Linked DNA regions of Drosophila melanogaster. The protein of the gene in region 2 interacts with the protein of the main gene of each other region in a pairwise test. Each region holds a gene or a part of one and is shown on either strand. Other genes may lie near its edges.

Region 1 (4,053 bases), on a different chromosome or scaffold from region 2:
TGGACTCCAGCGAAGCGCAGATCTTTCTCATGCAACTGCCAGATGTGTTGCCATGTGTGGGCGACGATTCCGAAGATCCGGAACCGTCTAAAGGAGATCATCAGGCCACCAGTGAATCGGAACCAGCAAGTCCTGCAGACAAATGCTCAAACGGACCCAAGGGCAGTGTACTACGGCAGCTGGAAGAAGGGCAGATCGGCAAGATTCTGAGGTACAAATCCGGTCGCGTTAAACTCCAATTGGGGGACACACGCTTTGACTTGGATATGGGTCTCGATCCGGGTTTTCTGCAGGAACTCATGTCTGTAACCGCCAATCGCGAGCAACGTAGTGGAAACATGATCAACTTGGGACCCATTCAAGCCAAACTAAAGGCCACTCCAGATTGGGTGCACCTTTTCCAGCAGCAGGATGCGGCATCCAAGCGAACGAATCCAGTACCGGGCACGTAGCACCCACTTCCCCATGGTAGATATGTAATATAGTAAATAGGCTGCGCCTAAGCTTAAGTTATTCCTATTCTAAATGCCGTATATAAAAGTTAAATATAGAAATTTTTATAATACAAATGCTTTTCAAAAGGTTATTAACAATTGTACTCGAATATGGAACATAAAAGAGACTCCAAGAAAGATGGGCTTGGAACTTGGGGATATGTAACGTAAATTAAGCCATCAATACTTAATGCAATGACCCAAGATTAATTTTTAGGTTAATGGATTGTTGATATATTATATGTTCAAATTAAGTGATTATTATAATTTCAAATACGGTCTTAAAATTTGAAAAGTATTCTAGTTCTAGCAAATCGCTTTACAATAGCTAGGTTATCCAATTCCTATTCTTTTGCGCAAATCAAATATACTTAAGTGTGTTGTTTATTGTGCAGAAAAATAAAAAAAAACACGGACTTTCAACTTTGGTTAGAAACCTATAAAAAGCATTTTAATGTAACAACAAACTAAGACACTGCATTAATTAATTACTCAAAACTTGCTGGTTGGGTTCGGGAGTGGCGTCCGGGAGCTGAGAGGTGCTTCGTCCGTGGTAAAGATTACCGGCCATATCGATGGCGAAATTGTGGTCCACGGGATTGGCCAACGCTGTCTCAATGGCTGCATCCAAGTTTTCCCTAGTGATATAGTTCTTGGAACGCTCAATCTCGAGCAGCACCCGCTGGTTGGCCTGCTCCTTGCGCTCCTCCTCGCGCAGCTGTTGTGCCTCCAATCGCTCCTGAATATAGGCCACCTTTTCCTCACGCTTCTTGGCCAATCGCTGATCACGCTCCTTGGCTATGGCAGCGTTCCAGGCAGCATTGGCATCCAGGCATTTCTGGAACTCGGCCTCCTCCTGCTCGGGAGTGAGCACGATGTGATCTGCTGTGGATGTTTCCTCGTGGCGGACGACTTCCTCCCTTAGAAACTGACGCACTGAGCGAAGCTGCGTTCTGAAATCAAGGCGTAGATTGTTTTGTATAACGTCTTTTGAAACCGATTACAAATTATCTTTGACCAGAGACAGAATCTGGCGCTGGTGCACGCACTTGTACTGGTTGTGTAGCCTCATGAGCTCCGTGCGCTCCTCCTCCGACTGCTTCTTGCGTTCAGGCACGCGGAACATCTTGCTCTTGGCCACCGGCAGCCATCGCGGTTTCCTGCGCCAGCGGACGAACTCGAGGGCGAAACTATTTCCGACCGTCTTCCCGGTGGGCAGGGTGGACTGCGTCAGCAGCTGGCATCCCGCTCGCAGCATTATAAAAGCAGTTTAATTAACAAAATGTAATTTTTACTTTGCCGCTGCTGAACTGTTGTGCAACTCTGTTGTCGGTGAACTGGTTCCGCGCAGTTCGATTGCTGGTTCCGTCAGTGATGACCAATATGGAAAATCGAAGAATCAAGGAATAAATCAATCTTAACAAATCAAATTCAGATAGAAAGGCAATAGTAATTTGGTTGTCAACTTACTAAATTTATTGTCGTACATATTCATATTAAAATATAATTATATACTCAGCTACATAGATATATTTTTAGGTACAGCTTAATTTTGCGTTGCTAACAAGTTTTTGCAATTAAATTGCGCAGGTTATGAATGTTTTTTATTTGTCCAAAGATACAAGCTTTGAAGTCCAGACAGATCTGTTGTGAAAATAGCCAAACTTCCAACGCACTAGTGCGTTTCTCACAATTGCGCTGCGCTCAGCTCGGGCTTAAAAGCTTTTGGCCAGGTGAACTTGACGGGAAGGTACGAAAAGTAACTGCTCACTCAGTCGACGATATATCGCCGCGCTGGCCGCATTAAAATCCGAGCTACGGAACTTCGCTGTTTCGCCTCTTGTACGTGGGCTAACTTAAAACAAAAGTGGCTTGCGCAGCCGGCGCGCCTTGAAAGTGTGTGTGTGTTCGTGTTTAAAAAAATAGTGTGCGTTATTGAAAAGCTAAGTCAGTTAGAAGCAGTGTGGAAAGTGCATATTGTATATATCTCTTGCCAAGGCTAAAAGTGTTAAAAGTTAACTCCCAGAAATGCACACACGCATACCGATGCAAGCGAAAAGTTAAAGCGACGATCATTCATTACTGCGTCTTCTTCTTATTCATCTGCTCTTTGCGACGTGTTTCGCTTACCTGTCCAAAAAGCCCGAGTATTGGTGGGCTCCACAGCTCCATAGCTCCCTCTCTCTCTCGCTCTCTTTCGATTTGCACATGCAAAAAGGCAGCAGCAGCAAGAACAACAACAAAAACTCCATCTGAGAGCTTTAAAGCCGAAGTTCTCGACGCAGACGTCGGCGGGAGCAGAGCTTCAGCAGCGCAGCGGCAGCGAACAACTCGTACAGGTTTGTTGGCATTTTTTTTCACATTGGCTTTTGATTTTTGTTTACCTCTGATTGGAATGGCAATTCGCACTGGTTGGACTGTAAATATTGTCTCATATGTGTGTCTCATGTATCCCAACCGCTTACCACGCACAGAATCGAATCGAATCGAATTGGATCGCTTCGTAGCTGGAAATTCTTATAAGGCGATCAATTTTGCATATCGAATTTGTTCAATTGCTTGAACTGCACGAAACAGGGGTTCTATTGTTCTCTTTTAATTAAATAACTAAAATGGGTAATGTAGACTTTCCTTTTTAAAACTTAGTGCCTTAAAATGCCACATCTTCTTTTCTTATAATTTAATTAGTGTACCTTAACTGTACGATTAAAAGTTTACTGCTCTCTAATCGTTGGAATGTTTATCTTATGCAACTTTTTCAATCTGTTTACTTTCACATTCTCCAGCATTTAAGATAAGATTTTATATCTAAAAACGTGATTTAAACAAGATTAATACAGAAAGAATGCAAAGTTGTTGGATGATAACGACAATGTACTAATCTAATTCCCTTTATTTCAATATAAATACTTAATATTCCCAACTATTTAGGTTAGCTTCTGTGATAGTTTGAAATTACCTATCAAATTGTGAGCTTAACTTATTTAAGCCAGTAAATTCCCGCTACACAACTTATTTTCCCACCAACATAACCTCGTTTGGCTTATCAACAACGCTCATTAAAAATTCCGAAAAAGAGTTGCAACTTCGGGGCACTGCACCACGCGACGCAGAAGTCAAAAGTCTTGCCTTGAACGCCTGAGCAAGTGCAAAATCTGCTTGCTAATTTATTTGCCCATCTCCAACCTGAGGTCTTTGAAAATCTAAACACAAAAATGTGTAGGAAAATAATTATGCCAGCAGCAGCAACAACATCAGCAAGTAAAACAGTTTAAATGACTTTCAGTCACGGCAGCTCAGCAGGTGTTGGCTAAAAGGGGGAAATCTGGGGAATGGGCGCTGACTTCAACTTAAATATGCAAACTTTTTCCGCGCTTGGAGAACATTCGCAAATTCTGATAAGAGTTCCCCCCAACTGTAAAACCTAATTAGCAAATGTTGTGAGGCAATTAAACCAAATTACAGTTCTCCTTCTTGCCCGTGTTGCAAGTTGAAAGGCAAGTTGAAGAGAAAAAACAACAACAAATTTGTCACAAACTGTCGCAGTGCGGCTTTGCAC
Region 2 (4,155 bases):
AATGGAGCCATGAATGCGATCAGGATGACGAACACTATGGCAAGTGCCAGGAGATACCGCATATCATTGATGATCAGGAAGAGTATTAGCAGGACGATCATGGTGACGGTGAGCAGCAGAAAAATGCAGCAAGTACAGATAATGTTGGGTAGCAGAACCTCCGGACTTTTGGCCCCATACAAATGCAGCAGGGCCAGCAGGGATCCGGCAACCAAAATGGCAATCAAAAGGACCCAGACGCGCACTAGATGCATATAATACGCTCCGAACAGGGTGAGAAAGAACAAGGATCCCAGCACCAATCCCCAGCATAACAAGGTCAATGCTGGAGTCTGTGCGATGCAGCCGAGCACTGAGAGAATGATGAAAGCTAATATCAGCCAAACGAACGGCGGCACTGGAATTGCCTTGTAGACCCTCACAGCGAGTGCCGACAGTATGATCCACGAAATGGAAGACAGCAGGCACAGCACTACGGAGGATAGGTACACCCGGAAGATGAAGGCCCGCAACTCCCGCTCGTTGATGACTAAGACCTCCGGTCCCTCCGCAGGAACTGGCTCGCCACCAGGTCTTCCGGTTCTAAGGCCATAACGACCCCAACCCCGATTGCGATTATTCATGTGTTAATCAATTATTTTAGGTCAATATAATGTAATTTTGAAGAAAAAAGCAAAGTAAGTGATTCATTTTCTCTTATATTGAGACTAGGACTTTTCATAATACTCTGGCTTTATTCTAATTGCCTTGCAATGAGAATATATTTATATTTTCTGTACCGCCTAGGCTACACCGCACTAAGTAATTAGACTGGATGACAGTATCCTTTGGTCTGGAACACCATAGTAACTTGCCAGATCGCTAATCAGTTTCGATCACACAGTGACAGCTATTTCTCTCAATCAAAATCATTTTCGAGTGAAATTTTCGGAGCTTCAGATGTTTGTCTGATGGCCTCCTTTCTCTCGTCGACCAGGATGAAGTAGCACACGCAGAAGAAGAACATCATTGAATGCAAGTATAAAGTCAGGGTGCAGACCATGAGGTGCTCTTCGGGAACCACTTCCACGACGTTCAGACGGCCATGGTTGAACTGCGCCTGAATGGGGATCGCTATGATCAGCATCAGGAACAGAATGCTGACGAAGGTGTCGAGCAGCTCAACACTCCCGGTGCAGAGCTGGACGATTCCCACAATGGTCAAGACCAACAGCAGTGCCATCATCAGCAGCGTGGAGCAAACACCGCCGGGCAGGAACTCCTGCGGGCACATGGCCCCAGAGAAGTTGAGTAACATAATGATCAGGGCCACGCCGATCATCACGAAACTGATAATGAGCGGGCTCAAGTCGTGGATGAAATGGCAGCCAAACAAGGTGGTACACACAACCACCAGACCTGTCATGAACCACTTACAGGGAGAGTAGTAGGATATTCTCGGGATACAATGCATGCATATCATCACCAGAAAAATTATTAGAGCCAGGACGTAGCAGGGAAACGGAAGGTACCTCTGCAGGTGAATATGGGTCAGCATGAGCAGAATCCATGCGCCCACCGTAATTCCGATAAGGATCAGGCCAATGTTATAGATGCTGCGGATGAACTGGGTCATTGGGTCCAGCTGCTCGATCGTCGGCCGGATGTTGTCCTGGTGGTAAATGTTGTCCATCCCGTTAAAAATCCTTATGGACCGAGTGTTAAGACTAGGTCTGGCCTGCACCCTGACACTTACCTCCTGGCAAAGCTGCTCACCTTCTATATCTTTTATTTACAAATTGGTATCTTTTCTCATTAAAGCCTTCTTTTTATTTTACACGGACACGTTAAATTAACTCCTATAACTCTCACCATTTGGGAGCCCAGATGACAAAGTAAAAGGCCGCAAAGAACAACAGAAAGTGCAGATAGATGTTGACGGCGCAAATAACGAATTCGTAATCGGGCAGCTGGAATCGCCTGGAATGAACCACCTGAGCATGGTAAACGGATGCGGGTATTAGCAAAGTGGCCAATAACGTGAAGTACACCAACTGGTAGATCCAATTGTCTGTGAAGATATACATGGTCATCACAAAGATTGAGGACATCACGAAAATGACGAGCAGGAGGAACATGGTCCTCTCTCCGGGGAGGATGATCTTGGGTATCCATGCGCCAGCGAAATAGCATATCACAGTCATGGCGGAGGCCACCAGAAGGGCAATGCACACGCGGGAAAGGTTCCGCTCCAGGAGAAGCAGAATAACGCCCAAACCTGCCAGACTTACAAACAACCCGGCCATGATGAAACTATACCAATAAAAACTCCGCAACTTGGTCAAAATACAGAAGACAAAGAGAAACATTAGGGACACCATTGCACTTATGAATCCTGCCATTATAAGATCTGCCTCCGGAGGAATTACCTTGGACAGGATTATGGCAAGGATCGCAGTTGTAGTCGAAAACAATCCAGCCATCATGTAGCAGCGCCGCACAAATATTATTTTCGACGAGTCGCCATTTCCGTTGTCCAGTCCTCTGGAGCCTTCGCCTTCCACAACCGAACGTCGTGCCCTTAATCTACGGGGTGCTAAGCGAAGCTGGTGTATCGAAGGATGCTCGTATCGAACCAAAGTTCCAGGAGCCTGCTCTTGCTGCTGTGGCAAAGGAAAGTTGAGAAGCTGGAGGGCTGGTGGATAGATGACCCAGTCATTTCTTAAACTGCCTCCTAACATTGGGAGCACTTAGAGGGCAACCACTTAAAATTTTGACAAAATATTTATGGCACACCCTGATTGGGTACGAAGACATCCCTAAAAACATAAACAATACTAATACTACTAAAAATTACTAATAGCCAAAATAATACATAGCCTGTAAATCTGATTTAAGAACTGGAAATATTTATATACACCGTATATATATAACAATTATCCTAAGATTAAGATTCGCGGAAGAGATAATTACGGTGACTTACCGAATGCGATGGCATGCATAAATATTTAACATTTTATAAATCTAAGCAGTATTATTCCGTTCGATCAGGGCGGAAAACTCAGCGAGGCATGCGGAATTCCAAGGGGACTACAAAGCCTGCAAGGAAAATGCTAAGTAGCTCCGATCAAAGCTAACAAAACAGCCACAAAGGATGCTTACTCCTTTCCCCTGCCTGCATTGTTTGTTGTTGTTTTGCTGATCGCTTGAGTGACACGCAAAGCAAAGGATACAAGGATACACTGGAGTAGAAAGGCGATCCCGAGATGTGTTTACTGCCGCATCTGCGGCCTCGATCACAATCACTTTCACAGACGGTTGATGCTTGATGGTTGACGGTTGGACGGCATTGTTCCGGCTATGACTCAATCTCAATCAGCTGGCTACGCTTATCCTTGATCCCCGCTAAAGACATGCAAATGCCAAGGCAGCAGGCGATCGGGGAGAATGTCAGTTATCTGGCAGCTGCAGCTCAATGCAATAGATACGCTTGCAGTCGAAGGAGTATAACCCTTGAGTTGCCAATCAAGTCGTTAGCTCGCCTGCTCCTCATGATTGGATTATTGAGTTGGTAAAAAGTGAATACCTTTCGGAAATTGAAAATCAAGTAGCGGATGTCAGTATTAGGATTAGATTCTATTTTCTCTGCAAATTTATAAAACATTTTTAAAGCTAAAAAGAGCAACTAATTTAAAATAACTCATACGACTTGTTTATTGATCTTTCTCTTGCAGATTTCGGCCTTGGGCCACATACATATATATGGACTATTTACTATTCTACAATGGCCCCTTCAGGGCAGGTCAATGTACCATGGTATAACATTTTCGGCTTATATTTTCCACCCACACAACGCTGACAACGATGAAAGGGCCAACGACGAGAGGTCGGGAGGAAAGTGAAAGCGTTGGCAAGTGCTTGACAACAACGACATGCGAGCGTATGCAGTGGACCAGGCCATTACAATCCACATCACCATCCTAACCCCACCTCAGACAGCCCCGGACAAACTAACGGCATTTCCCCCGTCGACTTTTCCCGGCCCTAACTTCATTTGGGATTTTGCATGCGAACACGAAAATGTTCGGGAGCCGCAAAAAGCACAAGCCAAAAAGCTTACAGAAGCGTAACGAACGAGAACCGCCCGGAGATTTGGAGGAGGAAAAGGCAGGGCGG
Region 3 (4,903 bases), on a different chromosome or scaffold from region 2:
CAGTAGCACTGAATTCCGCACCACTTCCAACTCTAGAGCCATTAACCCGAGTAACCTCCAACTGTGATATACCCCAACTGGACGCTCCCAGTCTAGAAGAGTTCCAGACAAAGTGCTTTGAGGCAGGACAACCCACACTCCTGCTCAACACCATCCAGCATTGGCCTGCACTGCACAAATGGCTGGATCTCAATTACCTTCTCCAAGTGGCCGGGAATCGCACGGTGCCCATTGAAATAGGTTCCAACTATGCCAGCGATGAATGGTCCCAGCAGCTGGTGAAGATCCGCGACTTCCTGAGCAGACAATTCGGAAAGGAACCAAGCAAGGCTGGCCAAAATATCGAGTATCTCGCTCAGCACGAGCTCTTCGCCCAGATACCAGCCCTCAAAGAGGATATATCCATTCCCGACTACTGCACCATCAGCAACGAAGATACCCCAGGAGCTGTGGACATCAAAGCCTGGCTGGGACCAGCTGGAACCGTATCTCCCATGCACTACGATCCCAAGCACAACTTGCTGTGCCAGGTATTCGGTTCGAAGAGGATCATCCTAGCTGCTCCTGCAGACACAGACAATCTGTATCCCCACGACAGTGAGTTTTTGGCCAATACAGCGCGAATAGATGCTGCTCAACTGGATCCTGAAACATATCCCTTGGTAGCCAAGGTGAAGTTCTACCAGCTGCTCCTGCAACCTGGTGACTGTTTGTACATGCCACCCAAATGGTGGCACTATGTGAGATCTGAAGCTCCTAGCTTCTCTGTAAGCTTCTGGTGGGAGTAAGCATTTTAATGCAGTTTATTGAACAGCAAATTTATGTAGGATGATCTCTGTTCAAGTTAAGATTAAAGTATGCACTGCAAAACCACGATAGATCACTAAATATGCGAATTTGATTAGCATTTCTGGGTAATTATCAAGGAAACATATTCGATGCCCTTTTCGCACACCGATAATGTAACGCCTCCGATTTCTAAGCTCCAAGTATGCAAACAGGTTGCGACGTCTGACGTCATTGCCGTGTACTATCAGACATGATGTGGACTATCCGCGCCAACAGATGAATCATCGAATCGATCACAACTGGATGGGTACTTTTTGGTTGTTCTTTTAATAGCCACGACGCTTTTTGGGTGTGTTACTGTGGCAAACAAAACTTAACACATACGAATTAAATACAAAACTTCGGACGAAACGAACATTGAGTTGAGGGACCATTATCAATATACCCCATTATCATTATCAAATGGTATATGTAGTTGTATCTATGAGGATTAACAATAAGATGTGTGTGCTTTCTATCGATTTGAAATCGTTATAATCTTTTAAATGTGCCTGCTTTCGCTGCCCCACCGCCATGCTTATAAGTCTTATCGTTATTTAAATGTTGGACTTGGCTCCAGTGAGTTTAATCATCCTTGTTTCCGCCTCCGCCGATGGTTATCTTCTTCTGCAGCTTGCTGTACTCCTCGGTGAGTCGGTCGTACTCGCGGTTGATGCTCTCCGCCTGCGACTTAACCGCCTCCTTGTCCTTCTTTTCGCGATTCAAGTCGGAGGTTAGCTCCTGGACGCGCTCGCGCAGCTTGTTGAGCTGCAAAATTCGGATTTCGTTTGAGTTTCGATTGGATTTTTGTTCGTTTTGGGTGTTTGGGAATGGATATAAGGTGGGTGCTCTAGGTGGGGATACTTAGGACACTCGGGCGGTGAGTCCTTGCACACGTCTCCGCAGTCTTGACAGCTGTTTAAAGAGTTAACAAGAGGTTTAAACTTTCGAGTGGTGGCTTCTGTTTATCGTGGCCCAACATATGTGTTTGGGTGTGGTTTCAAAACGTTTAGCTGCGGTCAAAACAAAAGCACTAAGCCTATGACAAATTCACTCGGTCTTCAAACTGATTTAAGTTTACGTTTAAGATTTTAATCATGATATATACTGGTATTTAAAGTTCTATATCGTTAATAGACTACATTTAAAGCCTTTTCGTATCTTATATTCAAAACCAATTGAGAAAATGTACCAGAAAGTGGAATGAAGTATAGATTTTATAGATTTAGTCGGCTAAAGACATTATCTCGCCATATTTTGACCACACCTTCTATATGCATTGCCATATCTTTACAGCTGGTAGTAGCCAATTGAACTCCAAAGTCTTAGGTGTTAGCTCTCTAGACATGCCATTCCTGGGGATCGGATGCAGGGGTTTGGGACGTGGACTCACCTCGATGAGAGTGGTATCCTCGCCGGCTTCCTTGGCCTTCTCGGTGTTCTTGTTCTCCAGCAAGGAACGTGCGGCTGCAGTGGCGCTCTGTGCCTGCTTGAAGGAAGCCTCGCTCTGGGCCATGAGATTGGCCTGGGTGCAGATCAAGTTTACCAGTCGCCGGATGACCAGGGCAAGGAAAATGGCGAATCCAGAGATGTAGAAGTTCCGCTGGGCACGGAACAGCTTCATGCTGTGCTGCATCTCCACGTTCAAGTGGACCTCGTTAGACTGCTGCAAGCCGGAGTACTTGCGCATCTCGCGAATGGCCTCCAGGAGGAAAATGACCAGAATTCCCATGATCAGCAGGAAATATATGTGCGCCTGTTGTCCCAACATCGATAGGAATTTGGACTTGAAGAACCGGTTCCAGCGGTAAGGAGTGAGCACCGGCAGCACCAGCAGAAGGACCAGTGCGATTTCCGCATAGAGAAATCCGGCGATCAAAGTCCACACCAAACTCATTTTTAATGTTTTATTAATTCCCTTTTTCGTTCGATTTTCGCTTCTTGGATTTTCGCTTTTTTCGACTGCCGCCTGTAAGCAGAAATGCGTCCAAATTAGCTGCTAAGTCTACGGATTCGGGACGGACGGTCTAGTGGCTATTTATAAACTACGGCCGGAGTGACTGGCTGCTTACTTTAAATAGCAATAATTAAATCGCTGCCGTGATGAAATATGCGTATATTTTATGTAGTCACTGCGCCGGCCACGTCAACTCTGTTTTTTTGTGTACGCACGGGGCTGCCAACTCGCGCGCTGGAATCAACTGTAAATTGGGTAGCCAGAAAAAAGCTGAATTCATGGAAAATATTCGAATTTCAAAATCATTTTATTAGTAAGTAAAAAAAATGGCAAGAATTAGTACGTATTTTGCATTAAAATTAACCATTACCTCCAAATATTACAAGACAAATCGATCATAAGGTATTGTATGTAATGCTTTAAAGTGCCTTGGTAACCCGGCTTGCGATGTAAACAAGCTGGCAGCTGGGTTGCCAGGTTTCCATCGCAATGTGCTTCTCAACAAATTTTCAACTTTGCGCCATCGATCAAATTTTCTGCCCCGTTCAGTTGTTATATTCGAATCTCCGGCGGAGACGTGTGCCTAGGTAATCCCATCAATCCCCAGAGATGTCCTACCAGAACTGGCTAAACTACCTGCAGGCGGCGGAGAAGAACTCCATGATAAGTGGCCGCGCCCGCAAGGTGCTCTACAAATTCCCGGACGGCAGGCAAATGGCCGAGGAGTACAACATGGACACGGGAATCGTGCAGCGGCGGGCCTGGAAATCGAAGAGCAACAAGATCATGGGCGAGTCGGAGTGGGAAATCGAGCTGGGCGATGAGCCGCGTCAGTTAAACTGGTCGGGCAACAAGCCACCAGGATCTGGCGAGGAAACGGACTCCCTGGCCGGCGGAGATTTCACCCTGCGGGAGAGCAACACCGCGCCACTGCTGACCAAGCGGATCACCAAGAAGAACATTGAGTGGCGCATCCGCAACATGCCCTACTCCCTGGACACATACAGCGTAACCGCCGATCCCGAGAAGCGTGCCATAGTCGTGCGCACCTCGAACAAGAAGTACTACAAGGTCATCCCGGTCCCGGAACTGGACCGCTGTGGGGTCAAGCCCGCGCAGGAGAGCCTCTCTGTCCACCACCAGTTCAACACGCTGATCATTACCTACCAGAAACCAGATATCCTCTGCGAGATGGAGGCACAGGTGCTGCTTCTGCTCAAGAATGTCGACACCGAAACCGACATGGATGATCTGCTGAAGGGTCTGATGGCCAAATAAACGACTTAGATTGTAATACACAAAGTATTATTATTATTATTATTATTGTGAATTAACCTAATTTAATTTATTTAGAGAATTCCCAAATACACTTCACAAAGGGAACTGCACAAAACGTTGAAATGAAGAACGTGCCTAAAATTAAATCCTAATCACCACTCAGCGGGCACTGCATTACCACGAGATCTTTCAAATTAGTTGAAGTTTTACAAATGGATCTTAACCAGGCCTATTTCTGGAAGCTCTCAGCCATGCCGGCATAGCTGGCCAACGAAGGAGCCGAGGAGCTGGTGAACAGGCTGTAATCGAAGGAGGGCAACTCCAAGGGCGCCAAGGATGGCAGGTCCAGGTCTCCACTGCCCGCCAGCCGCTGATCGCAAGTATCGTGTTCCTGCTCCTCCTGGGCAGAATCGCTCTTCTTCAGCGTCTCCATATGGGGCTCCGAATGGGCCAGTGTGCTAGAGGCCTTTGCCACCAAGGAGGAGGTGAACTTGGCATCGAAGTCCTGCACTGTTTTGTCGATTGCCTTGGCCACCGACTGAGCGGATCCTCCTGCGCCTCCACTTGCTCCGGCTTCTGGTCGCAGGGGCAGCATGGGACTGGTTTCCTTCAAGGGAGCATAATCCTTCAGCTTGTTCAGACCATGCTGCGTCTTTCGCATCTCAATTTGACGCAGTTTGCGCTGAAAATCGAGGGTCAATGTGTCCAGAACTTCCTTGGATTTGGGCAGAGCCACCCGTTTTTGGGCATCCTGCATGTAGATTAGGGATGTTTCCAGCGCTTTAATGGCCTCCTCATAGCGGTGATTGCGTATAAATCGCTCCGACCTTCGCTCGTGGA

The links.
Region 1: the proteins of CG32987 (region 2) and mRpS26 interact in a two-hybrid assay, tested with the Drosophila melanogaster proteins (one large-scale study listed by BioGRID).
Region 3: the proteins of CG32987 (region 2) and CG13887 interact in a two-hybrid assay, tested with the Drosophila melanogaster proteins (one large-scale study listed by BioGRID).

What each region holds. Positions count from the first base shown.
Region 1 is NT_037436.4:18,104,361-18,108,413, reverse strand, and holds mRpS26 (mitochondrial ribosomal protein S26), read right to left. Parts: upstream 1,836-4,053; 5' UTR 1,753-1,835; coding exon 1,544-1,752; intron 1,448-1,543; coding exon 979-1,447; 3' UTR 915-978; downstream 1-914. Other genes in the region: Polr3D (RNA polymerase III subunit D), read left to right, coding at 1-452.
Region 2 is NT_033779.5:8,861,372-8,865,526, reverse strand, and holds CG32987 (uncharacterized protein), read right to left. Parts: upstream 1,717-4,155; 5' UTR 1,673-1,716; coding exon 899-1,672; 3' UTR 680-898; downstream 1-679. Other genes in the region: CG32988 (uncharacterized protein), read right to left, coding at 1-623; CG32986 (uncharacterized protein), read right to left, coding at 1,848-2,720.
Region 3 is NT_037436.4:835,943-840,845, reverse strand, and holds CG13887 (uncharacterized protein), read right to left. Parts: upstream 2,986-4,903; 5' UTR 2,726-2,985; coding exon 2,222-2,725; intron 1,744-2,221; coding exon of another isoform or gene 1,693-1,743; exon of another isoform or gene 1,597-1,692; coding exon 1,414-1,596; 3' UTR 915-1,413; downstream 1-914. Other genes in the region: JMJD5 (jumonji domain containing 5), read left to right, coding at 1-788; CG13901 (uncharacterized protein), read left to right, coding at 3,395-4,063; CG42554 (uncharacterized protein), read right to left, coding at 4,293-4,903.